Linked DNA regions of Oryzias latipes. The protein of the gene in region 1 binds, or shares a complex with, the protein of each later gene. Links are inferred from orthologs where the notes say so. Each region holds a gene or a part of one and is shown in the gene's direction. Other genes may lie near its edges.

Region 1 (3,369 bases):
CTTACTCTGATACCCAAACCCAAAAAAGATGGACTTCTCATTGACAACTGGCGTCCCGTATATCTATTAAATAATGACTACAAGATTCTTGCATCTGTCTTTGCAAAGAGACTTAAATCTGTTCTAAACTCAGTTATTGCAGAGACACAATCAGGATTCAGACACATCTCCAATAACATTGGTCTAGTTCTTGATATTCTAGATTCCTCACACCTGATCTCTGATGACAGTTGATTCTCTTTTTAGACTTTTATAAAGCGTTTGACTCTGTTAATCATCATTTTATCTTCAGCTGTCTTCATACATTTCTTCTGTAATACAGTTAAAACTCTGTATGCTAATGCTAACTGTTCTGTCAAACTAAAAAATGCCCCCCCCCAGATTCAATCCCAATAGAGGAATCAGATGGGGGGGGGGGTCCTATTTCACCGTATCTTTTTCTTCTAGTTACCCAAACTCTTGCTGATTGTATCAATATTCATAAATTAAAAGGCGTCTCAGTTCTTAATAAAGAAATGTTAATGAGTCAGTTTGCTGATGACACGACTCTCTTCTTCAGAGACAGCAGTCAGGTTTCCTGATCTCTGAACCGTATCCAGTCTGTCTCTGATGTCTCAGGTCTACGTCTCAGTCTGAACAAATAAGAACTTCTTTCTGTTGAAGATTGTGCTTTAGAATCTGCAACAGTCCTGTAATAGAAACTGTAACATATTTAGGCGTTAATATTTCCAAAAGTAGTTTAGAAAGATGCTCATTAAATTTCCCTCCCCCTCATTGATGAAGCCAAAAAACGTTTGAACCAAAGGCTTCAGAGAGACCAGAGTCTGAGGAAGGATTCACTCTCCACAGCAGAGGGGATTTCTAGACTGACTAATTCTGGACAATCAGACTCTGAAATCTATTGATCAAATGCTGCTAAACTTCATCTGGAAAAACCGGATTCATTATTTAAAAAATCTGTATTAATGAACTCCTATGAAAAAGGAGGCCTAAATTTTCTTGATCTTACTACTTTAAATAATACTTTTAAAATAAACTGGATGATATTTCAAAAATCCACTCTCCATTTGGAATATTTTCCCTCGTCACATGTTTGCTAAAGTAGCTTTTCTCCATTTTCTTCTGCTTTGTGATTATAATATCGACAGAATCCCAGTGAAAATCTCTGCTTTTCACAGATTCTTCTTTCTTATCTATAAACACAACTTTTCTCCTCATAAGTTTTTTATTTGGAATAACAGAGATATCCTTTACAAGAACAAATCTTTATTTTACAATCATTGGTTTGACAATAATATCCTACTGGGGACGCCGTTCCTACTGAATCTGTGAACTCTTTAAAAATACTGTACTTGATGCAAATATTCCCTTCATGTCTCTAAGTGACACTAATGTTGGAAAATCTTGTTTCAACTAAAGAATAACAAGATCATCCGTGTTTCAGCTAAACGTCATTTCTGTTCCTCTGCTGTTTTCTATTGGAGAACATTTATTCCTGACTCGTCCTGGAAAAATGTTTGGACCCTGAATCAGAAATGATTAATTAATAACAAGATGAGAGACGTCTGCTACAAACGTCTACATAGAATCTACCCCATAATCAATACATGCTCAGATAGAAGAAAACTATTGACTAAGTAAACAGGAAGTGTAGCGAAACAGACCGGAAGTCGCTTGGAAGGCCTGAAAGGCACCGCCCACCAGCCTACGTCAGCAGTCACGTGAAGGATCATCTTCCGGAAGAATGGTGAGTTCGCTCTCTGTCTCCGTGCCGCTTTTCCGAACCGAACCTCACCGAACCTCACGTGTGTTGTGTGCAGAGCACGGCGGCGCTGACGGCGGGTCTGGACCGGATCCCGGACCAGCTCGGGTACTTGGTGATCAGCGAGGACGGAGTTCTGGCGGTAAGTAGTATCCGGGCCCAGCTTTGTTACCGAACCGAACCTGAGCAGGCTCACCTGTGCAGTCGGCAGGTGAGCTGGAGAACGACGAGCACACGGCGAGCGTCATAATGCAGATGGTCCGGACCGCGAACCGCTTCCGGTTATCTGGATCTGCGGACCACTTCCGGTCACCCGGATCCGAGGACGTCCCGTTTAAGCGCATGTCCGGTAAGTCACACCTGACAGGTGAGCTCGGCTGGTGATGCCCCGCCCTGACTCGGTTCTGTTCGCAGTGGTTCTGGAGGACTTCGTCTTGGCGGTGACCGTTTCCGGTCAGAAGGTGTTTGTGGTCAAACGTCAGCACGCGCATCCTGAGCACGTCACAGCGTGAAGGCGGGGCCAGGCGGAGAGGACGACAGTCCACCTTTGGACCGAGTCGGAACCGACTTGCTCAGTAATGAACTGATGTGACCCACCAATCGCACAGAACTGGAGCAAGTTCTCTAAACAGTTTCGGTTCTGTTTGGATCATTGGACAGAACCCAGTTACGTTTAGGTTCTGGACCTTTACAGAACAAGGTCAGCTACAGTGGTTCTGAAGGCAGAGCGGAAGACCGATCCTGCAAAGGTTCTGCTGCATGTTTTGGATTCTGAAATAAAATCTTCATCTCCCAAAGAAACCAGATTTTCTGTCAGAACTTGTCATTTAAATAAAGTTTTAATGTTTTGAAAACTGATTCAAATAAACATACGAAAACCTGAAGTTTGTCTGATCCTTAACCAGATTCAGTTCTGAGACCGGTCTGGTCTAGAGTCTGCAGGTTCTGGTTCAGAACAAAGCCCACCAGCGTGACAAGAAAAAGCTTTATTGCGTCATCTTCTTCATCTCTTCTTCACATTAGGCAGGAATGACGGGGGCGCCGGTCCGGCTGTGGAATGACTCGTCACCTGCCCAGGTAGCTCTCACCTGCCCCAAGCCCCACCCCTCTCCCAAAACATCCTGTCACATGATCTGGATTTAAAACATGCGCATAAAAGAACAAACACCGGCAGAAGAAGAAGAGGATGATGGGAAACCTCAGAGTCTGTGACATCACTTCCTTCTACAGCTATAATTTAAAAAAAGAAAAAAAAAACAGGAACAGTCTGGCGGAAGGCTCCTCCTCTTCCTCTGTACACGGTGACATCATCAGTCAGCTGCTTAGCGTTTGGACAACTCATTGGACAGCCAGTCCAGCCCCTCGTACAGACCGGTCCCCTGAGTGGCACAGGTGGCCTGGACGTGCCACTGCAACACACAAACACACACATGTCAGGAGGAGCGGTTCTGACCCACGTCTGCTTAAGATCCCCCCCCATGGTTCTGGCTCCATAAGTCAGGGGGGCCAAAGGGGTGGAGCTGTTCTGACCCACGTCTGCTTAAGCCCCCCCCCCCCCCCCATGGTTCTGGCTCCATGAGTCAGGGGGCCAAAGGGGTGGAGCGGTT
Region 2 (4,549 bases), on another chromosome or scaffold:
AAATGTGTGACATGGCCTTAACCCTTGTGTTATCTTAGATGACCCCACCCTTACATTGACGTGTTCTCCCTGCCATGACAAAGGTGGATAAAGGTGGAAAGATTTCATGTAATCCATGGACACCAGTGAAGATCACAAATCATTGAAGAAAAAAGGTTCAGAGCACTTCTAGTGGGTCTACATGACCTAACTCTCTGTGTTAAAGTGCCTATGATAGCACAAGGGTTAATGTTCTGATAATGAAATAAAATGTATTTTCTGCCATTTTATAAAGGTGTATTAGTATTCACTCAAAGTTTTGCAAATTCATACTCTTTTTAAAATTGGTGATATTTAGCCTTTCTTGCAGCCACACTGTACATACTGATTAGATTTTTTTTGTAATTTCTTTTCTCCAAAAGACACTTTTATTCGTCATCATCATTTGTCCTTTCAGTTGCAGAGACTAGAATAGAAAAAACTGATTTTTTGACCTTTCATCTAAACTTCAGAGGTGTCAGAATGACCTCAAAGAGTTTTACTATAAATTTAAAGAGTTAACTTTTTTGTCACATATCTAGAAGGAAATGTGTTTATTTCCTTCTGCCAAAATGAGACTACATCCTCTCTGATTTTACACCACGTCTGTAGCTTTCAATGGTTGACGGTATAAACAAAACTGTAAACGGATGCACTTGTGTGACTATAATTTTACCAAAACACATATCAGAGAATACATATTAACCATGCACTCATGTACCATAGCAGTTACAGCATGGAATCAAATCAACTTTTGTTTATACAAATGATTGGTTTGTGTCTTTTTTATAAGTGTGTCCACTCAAACACAACAGATTTACCTCTTAGAACAAAATCCTCTTCTTACAGACAAAAAAAAAACAATAATATCCTCGGCCCGATCACTTTTTCTGATGTCCAAAGGGCAGGAGGGAAACGATTCTGCCAAACACTTTGCGCAAACATGTCCTCCCACCAGGAAGCCAGCAGACAATAAAAACCTCAAAGCAGACTAACCTTTACTGTAAGGAGGAGTGTCAAAAGATTTAAATAACACTTCTTTGGTTGAAGTAGAATAAAAAGTACACTTCTTTGAAGCATAAAATCTTTGAGATAAAAACTCTAAATATGACAAAGGAGATGAATCAAGGAGGTGAAGTTTTCGTCGTTCACTGAAGCAAACTATATTTCCCATGATACATTTCCAAAGAACTGGTCATATTCTAGCAGCTCTAATAGGTGTGAGTGTGAATGGGAGTGTGATTGTGGCCCTGCGACAGACTGGCAATCTGTCCAGGGTGTCCCCTGCCTTCACCCACAAGTGGCCGGGATAGGCTCCAGCAGCCCCGTGACCCAGAAATGGACAAAACGGAGGAAGATGAATGAATGGCCATATTCCAGTTCTCAAAAATGTTTACAGACTACATGGGAAAGTAATTTAAAACAAAAAGATTTGTGAAAAAATCAGGAATAATTAAAAATTTAAAAATAAAGTTTAAAGAAAAACATAATAAATATAAATAGGAAACATGTATTTGGATATAACTGCAATTCCCATGATGCATCTCTAAATGTACCGGAAAAGGAAACAGAAGAAGAATCGAGTCAGCTGACTTTGCTCTGTTATTGAGCAGTTCTCTCTTCTTTTTTAAGCCCCGTGTTTATTCAGTCAGATCATTTTTCTGGGTTTTTTCTCCTGAGAGAGGTCGGCCATGTTGCGACCCAAAGCGCTGACGCAAGTTCTCAGCCAGGCGAACACGAACGGCGTCCAGAGCACCCTGTGAGTACCGCGAGCTAGCAGGCTAACATCCAGCTAGCTAGCAGCGGTTTGTTTGCGTCTAGCTCCTTAGAACTCTTAAAGCTCCCCTGAAACGACACGTTTATATAATTATTACTTCACCAACTTAATACTACTTTTACATTTTCATTATTTATTGCAATAAATACAAATATATTTTTTCAAGATTTGTTTTCCGCTGTTAAATCAAATACAGTTTTACACGAATTTCAAGCAGTTGAATTTTGATTTCAAAATAAGAGTCTTTTTAAAATATATTTGGTTCGTTTTTATTTTTGCTTAGAAAGTCTGTTCAGGGTACAAAATATCATTATCAGGTAGAAAAAAAGCAAAAAAAATCGATTTACATTTAAAAAGTGGTGTGGGAAAATAAGTAATCTGTAATGTTTGATGTAGATCTGTTTGATATAGATCTGTTCATCGTTTTAGCCATTTTGCATCAATCGATCAATTTCTGTCCTGGAGACCTCCTGACAAAATTACTTGGTTTTCATGGTTTGAAAACGGAATGGCGTTTGTCTTAAAACTTTGTCACTGTAACTTTTCATCATTGTGTTGTTTTTGTGTGTAATGAACAACCGTCTCTCTGTGCGAGCAGCCTACTGAACAACGAAGGCTCCCTCCTGGCGTACTCCGGTTACGGCGACACAGACGCTCGAGTGACCGCTGCCATCGCCAGCAACATCTGGGCCGCCTACGACAAGAACGGCCACCAGGCCTTCAACGAGGACAAACTCAAGTTCATCCTCATGGACTGCATGGTGGGAACTTTCTCCTTGTTTTCCTTCAGCCCTTTTGTTGAAGTTAGATTCTATGAATGCCCCAACATCTCTGAAGGGGTCTGCAATTTGAGGCATCACAGCTGTTTTTTTTCCCCCTCCATTGTGACTTTAAAGAAAAAATGTGTATTATTTAAATAAAATAATGTGTTTGTAGTTTTGCTTTAGCATGCATACATGGTGGCACCTGTTCAGTCTGGTCTGTTTCAAACGGGACCAAATGGCTCTTTTAATGTTGTACAAAATATGAATAATGGGACTTGAGCAAACCTTCAGATATGGAAGGAGCTGGCTCTTGATACCAATAGCACCACAGGAAGACACCAAACACACACTCCTTGTACTCCTTGCCCATTTTTTTTTGCCCCGCTCTACAGTTTTGTAAACATTGCTCAAGTCAAACGTGTCAACGTCCTGCATCATTTTTCTCATGATACATAAATAATCTTCGCTCATGCAAACAACCAGATGATTTTCTTATTTCTAACTTCCAGCTCTGAGGCAAAATGTTTAACTTAATTCCCGAAAATCAGCGAATCCACACAGTAAAACCCCCACTCTGCCTTAGGAGGAGGGGCTTTGTGGAGAGTCTTGCTCTGTAGATGGAGGGGAAACCTGCTGCATTTGGTCGCATAAAAAAAGCTGAGATCCATTCTTTCAAACCTGTGATTCAGTTCGATTTGCGCCTCATCGCCCCTTATTCAGTAATAATTCATGTCTGCACATTAGCTGAGAGCTGCTGAACTGAGTGAAGGTCAGGCTTACATAAATACTGTCGTAAATCTGAGCATCGCAAACTAACAGCAAAGCAGTGTTCTGTGAGAAATCCATCTGACTTAGTGGATTTATGATTGGAAGTTACAACCTGTAAAGAAAAGTGACTTTTAGTCTTTGGACTCGACCAATAAAAAGGCTTTTTTTTTTTTTCTCAGGAAGGGAGAGTGGCCATAACGCATGTGGCTAACCTGCTGCTTTGCATGTACGCCAAAGAGACGGTGGGCTTCGGGATGCTGAAAGCAAAGGTGAGGGCGCTGCTTCCTCACATGGGTCTTCATCAGCTGTGGTTCCTCAACGAGTCCCGATTCCTGACCCCACAAGTTCAGTTCAACCAAGGACATTTATTCACTCGTTTATTCATTCACTCTCCTCTATGTAGTTTAGTGGAAGTGAAGCATATTTCAGATCAAATTCCGATTCCAAGTTATTGGATTTGGAGTTGCTGCCGATACCGAGTTCCGATCTGTTACTGTCGTAGCACATCCAAAAAAAAATGACAAACTTAATAAACAGATCAACATTTTCCAAATTTTTAAAATTTTATTAAGCTTCTTTTAGCATTTTACACGTAAACAGAGCACTTCTGGGAAGTATCTTCAACAATCAAGGAAAAGTAATGCAATTATCAAATAGAAAAAATAGTTAACTATAAACTAGTACAAACTTGTTAATAGTTAACTAGTCAAAATAGGTTAATTAGCCCTATGAGAAAGTTTGGTGACTGTAGCCTTAACATCTTCAGAACTGTTGAACATTTTTGATCAGATGTGATTCATTTCCCTGTTATAATATCAAATAATCAATTTCCAAATTCATCGTTGTAGCATAATTATGATGAGTATTTGTGACTTTCAACAGAACCATTGACTAATCGTTAGTATTTTTATTATTATTATTATTATTATTATTATTATTATGTATTTATTTATCTTGGTCTATTTTTCCCAGAACTTGCACTTTGTAGGCGGTCCCTTATCAGCCCACCATCAGTTTCATTCTCTTGAAAAGAATGAAAAAAAGAGCAATTTTTATTTATTTACTATTTACAGTCTTTGTAAGTCGTTGGTAAGTTAAGATGAGCCAATATAGACACTTGCTGTCAGTATAAAATGTTTGATATACCGTACTTATTGTGTCAGGAAGTCTGAATCTGTGAACAACTGGTTAACTTTCCCGAACTGTGTTTGTGCGCCTCCTG
Region 3 (4,626 bases), on another chromosome or scaffold:
GATATTCAGAACATAAAACATATGTACTTTAAAAATAGTATTTTATAAAGACAGATAAAGGTTATCGGACCTGTGGAAGGAGCGACATTTGTGGCCAAAGCGACATTTTCCACTTTGGAAAAACTGGCACACTTTGACTCCATCGCTTTTCAGCTCTGCCAAGTCTGCAAATCACAGCAAAGATAACAGGAAAACATATGCAGTCAAGACTAAAAAACGAACTGATCAGATTTTTCATTTGAAAACTCATATGGTCATTATTGTTGCTCTTGGCATCCACACAAAGATCAGTCTGTGCGTCACAAATGATTAAATCTGCTCCTCTGCATTCCTCGCCCTGACATAAATGATATTATATTTGATTGTTCTAACCCTTCCATAGACATGGACCTCATAATTCATCTCCAGTGCACTAATCAGAGAGTAAACAACAGGTGGTAATAACCTAATCCCCCGTACAATAATGGGAAAGCTGACTCTCCCCGACGCTGAAGTTATTAAACTCCCTTCTGATATTACAGTTTACTGAAAGCAGCAGGGAGGTTTGTCTGTTCTGAGGAAATTTCCTTGTGACTTAAGGTTGGGGAGTAGGGGTGGGAGTGGGAGCAGACACCGATTCCTTTCCGTCTCTGGAGGTGGGAGTCTCTGGAGGTGGGAGTCTTCAGTCCTGACTCACTTGCTAAAAACCCAGACATGTTTCCAGGACATGAACACTGCAGGAAGTGAGGGGCTGGGGGTCCACTGCATTCTGCTCCCTTTTAAAGGGCCAGAGGCTCACACAAACACGCTGTCAGAACAAATTCCTTCCCAGAAACACTGCTATTGATGACTTGAACGCTGATAGCTTCTAAAAAATAATACTAATAATAATCTGGCATGGAGTTTGATTCCCCTAAAATCCTAATTAGATTTGAACAACATACCAATTTAGATTAACCAATTAGATTAACAGCAATAAGTACATACATGTTAAAAACACATAAAAATATGGTGTTACCATCGACATCAGTGGGCTTCTGGGTGTCAGCTGTTCCAACAGTTGGGTTATTGGTTGGTTCTGTGAGGGTCCCGCCACCATCTACCTGGCCCTCAGGTGAAAACGTGGGAGCCCCTGTCCCACGGGACGCCATGGTCACAAATGAAGGGCCCTGTTGCCTCGTTGAGGTAGTTTTACCTTTGACTGGTCAGTAAAAATAAACTGGACACACCCGGTTTTCTTTACTGTGTGTGGGAACACACGGAAGTGTCTAGTTTTTGGCGATTAAAAATAAACAATTTTAGAAATATTATTGTTTTTACAAAAAGCAGATATACTTAAACGCACTCAAAAATCAAAACCACGGTCACATATTTTGACATTTAAGCAGACTAGTAAGAAAATGCAGACTTCCAACTCAAATGTACTTTGACCTCAGTCTCGAGTGGACCTATGGGTAATGTAGTTAGTGTTCAATCGACTAGTCTTATTTTTGACTAAATGATTCTTGATTTCAGGAATGTAATCGTAAATTTTTAAAGAAAAATAATTGGAGAATTTATTTACATTTTCAAACGTCAAGAATTTGAGGTCCAAGAGTGCCAATGAACATAAAACTTGCTTAGACGCATCATTTCTGCTCGAGCGCGTGACTCCGCGTCATGTGACCCTTCTGTTGTTGTTTGCTAGCAGTTCCCGGTGACAAACGAAAAGCGTAACTTGTTGACTTATTGGTGAGTTTTTTAGTTTAAAAAAACGACCCGAAACATGTTTTTTGTATTTTTAAACTAAAAAGCCATGGCTGTTCCATAAAAGTCGTTTTGAGCAGCATTTAGCTCGACTCCGCTGAAGGTAAGAAGAACTCTCTATGATTGACTTGTAACGTCACAAACTGTTAGGAGACATACAGTCTACCTGTAAATATCTGTTTGTAGTCAAAACGGCAATGAATGTTAAATTATTGATGGATTCGTGTGTTCTCCATTTCAGATGAATGCGCTGGTAGCTCTGTGTCACTTCTGTGAGCTCCATGGCCCCCGGACCCTCTTCTGCACAGAAGCCCTGCATCCCCCATCCCCAGACCCGTCCTCCCAGACTGGTACCCCGGTGCCAGGAGACAGAGATAGAGATGGGGACCGTGAGGGTGAAGGTCTCACCATGAGGGCCAACAGCTCTACTACACCTAGAGGAGAGATGTGTGAGGTCAGTTTATCACGCTCTTGGCACCTGGACCTTAAAGTCCCACTCCGATCATCTATTTTCAAAACGTTCCCAGTGGCCTTTTAATTATGATTGTGCTGTTGGGGGGGGGGGGTTGGTAGTAAGCCTGCATGCAAGCCTGTTTGTTTACTTGTTTACGGCCCCTGTAATTGACCCCCATTCTAACATTCCCTGTGCAACAAAATGCCGACCAATATTGGAGCTAACCAGCCGTACAGTTTGGACGAGGAAAGCAAAGACTGAAGACGAATACAGAAATACGCAGAGAGGCAATTTGAAGCTTAATTTTCTTTATACATTCTATCATCAGAAAAATGGCACAAACACACGTTAAAAACAACAGAAACATAATTTTCATTGGAGTGGGTCTCTAAAGAGAACTTATCGGCTGGTAATCCATTTCCCACATGTCATTTTCTGTTTTTTTCTTTTTCTTTAACACCTTCTTAGGGATGCAGATCTCTGCCTGCATCTCACCCTGGCTTTGTGAGCTTCGATGATGAAACAGGAATTCGATTTCTGAGCCATCAGCATCCCAGGCAGCCGCAGCTTTTTAGCATGGTGCGCCAAGCCTGTGTACGCAGCCTCAGCTGTGAGGTAAACTTTGCTTAAACGATGTCTGCTCTCATTTTTGGCCCTAATTTCCGACCCAGTTTTCTCTGTTTTTGCCTCAGGTGTGTCCTGGACGTGAAGGACCGATATTTTTTGGAGACGAGCAACAGGGGTTTGTGTTTTCGCACACCTTTTTTATTAAAGACAGCCTGGCCAGAGGATTCCAGCGTTGGTACAGCATCGTTATTGTAGCCATGGACAGGATCTACCTCATCAATTCTTGGCCTTTCCTGTTACGTCACCTAAAGCTCACCATACACAGCCTGCAGAGCACAGCTCTAAAAGTAGGCCACAAAAACAAACAACCCCTTTGTTGATTCTGTATTGAGCTTAATTGACCGAACACATTTTTCTTTTATTAGGTATTTGACAGTGAGCAGGGGGTTTGCCCTCATCGAGCCATGCGGATCAACAATGCATTTTCCCCCGCAGTCTTTCCACACCAAAGAAGTGGGAACGCCGCCCGATCACTGACCTCTCTCACACAGCATCCCAATCTCTGGGCCAGCCTGCACTCTTCTTTTAGCTGGTGAGACAGTTGACCCGGCGTCACTCTGTCATTACTCCCCTTTAGGCTGATTTGTAGCTTCTCAGCTGTCAATAATGATTTGGGTCTTCACACCCTTCTTTCTGCAGGTTGCTAAAAGCCTGTGGGAGCCGACTGACGGAGAAGCTTCTTGAAGGTGCCCCCACAGAGGACACACTGGTGCTTATAGAAAGACGAACAGGTAAGCATGACGTCCAGGGCTACAAAACTGTTTGTGTCTGATCACACTAGAAGATTTCCTTCTTAAAACAAATAAGAAATATATAAAATATAGGATGCCTTTCCCTTGTTATAAAAGAAAAAAATCTGCCTATGGAACTAGTAGAATTTGTCTTGGTAAGATTTCTCAAAAAAGTTTTGATCTCCCGCCCTTTTTAAGACTAATTAAATGATGACTTTAGCTATAAATACTCATATTTAGGTTTATTGCTCTTAAAATGGGAAATATTAGGTCTTGAACTAAGCCTGATTTTCTTAAAAAAAAGTTTTATACCTATAAAGTAGGTATATTTGTACACTTTTCTTCCCCCCCAAATATGTCTTATGTCAAGCAACAGTCCAACAAATCATCCTGAAATAAGACTAGAATTACACATTTTAAGATCCATTTGTATTAAGGATTATTTAAAAAACACATATGAAACAAAACCACTCACCAGACAAATAAAACTTCAACTGAAAAATATTATATAAAGAGGAAAAAATGTGTTTTATTAATGATATTCATATAAAAACGAGATGTTTTCGAGATCAACTTACTCAACAAGATATTCAAAATGTATTGCCTTAAAACAAATTGGGTCTTTTATTTAGTTCAGGGGTCTGCAACCTTTAAGGGTTAAAGAGACATTTGGTCCAACTTCAAACTGACCAAAACCCACCGAGAAGTCCCACTGTTTTACAAAAATAAACTTTATTTATGTTTTTTGTGCCCATTAAGCCATTTATCTATGAAATTAGATTTAATTATGTACAAGAATAGAATTACATCACTTTACTTTTGACAGCTGCACATTAAAAAGTCCTTTCAAAATAAAATGACAACCCCCCCTGCTGCAGCAGATTTACTTAAATTAAAATGCAAGAAAGTCAAGTCAAACATGGTGCTTTCTGTTATTATGACTGTGGTATACCTTCATCCTGTTTATTTCATTTCACTATTCAATACATGATAATGACGTAGAATCCAATTGTTTTTACAAATCTATATATGTAAATGCAGTTGGACTTTATATAATTTAAGAACATTGTCTCTGAGCAGCACCTGGAC

What was found.
Region 2: lamtor4 (region 1) and lamtor2 share a complex: the UniProt entries of both Homo sapiens proteins name them as parts of the ragulator complex. The link is inferred for Oryzias latipes from reciprocal best matches to the Homo sapiens genes LAMTOR4 and LAMTOR2.
Region 3: lamtor4 (region 1) and flcn share a complex: the UniProt entries of both Homo sapiens proteins name them as parts of the lysosomal folliculin complex. The link is inferred for Oryzias latipes from reciprocal best matches to the Homo sapiens genes LAMTOR4 and FLCN.

What each region holds. Positions count from the first base shown.
Region 1 is NC_019881.2:23,887,647-23,891,015, forward strand, and holds lamtor4 (ragulator complex protein LAMTOR4), read left to right. Parts: upstream 1-1,638; 5' UTR 1,639-1,744; coding exon 1,745-1,747; intron 1,748-1,820; coding exon 1,821-1,904; intron 1,905-1,966; coding exon 1,967-2,111; intron 2,112-2,176; coding exon 2,177-2,274; 3' UTR 2,275-2,635; downstream 2,636-3,369. Other genes in the region: ADP-ribosylation factor 4, read right to left, coding at 3,085-3,171. UniProt on the Homo sapiens protein: As part of the Ragulator complex it is involved in amino acid sensing and activation of mTORC1, a signaling complex promoting cell growth in response to growth factors, energy levels, and amino acids.
Region 2 is NC_019874.2:28,620,133-28,624,681, reverse strand, and holds the start of lamtor2 (ragulator complex protein LAMTOR2), read left to right. Parts: upstream 1-1,563; 5' UTR 1,564-1,709; coding exon 1,710-1,777; intron 1,778-2,393; coding exon 2,394-2,556; intron 2,557-3,506; coding exon 3,507-3,596; intron 3,597-4,549. UniProt on the Homo sapiens protein: As part of the Ragulator complex it is involved in amino acid sensing and activation of mTORC1, a signaling complex promoting cell growth in response to growth factors, energy levels, and amino acids.
Region 3 is NC_019874.2:19,461,958-19,466,583, reverse strand, and holds the start of flcn (folliculin), read left to right. Parts: upstream 1-1,640; 5' UTR 1,641-1,710; exon of another isoform or gene 1,711-1,828; intron 1,829-1,966; coding exon 1,967-2,179; intron 2,180-2,647; coding exon 2,648-2,794; intron 2,795-2,871; coding exon 2,872-3,093; intron 3,094-3,171; coding exon 3,172-3,338; intron 3,339-3,445; coding exon 3,446-3,537; intron 3,538-4,626. Other genes in the region: leng9 (leukocyte receptor cluster member 9), read right to left, coding at 71-164, 998-1,130. UniProt on the Homo sapiens protein: Multi-functional protein, involved in both the cellular response to amino acid availability and in the regulation of glycolysis.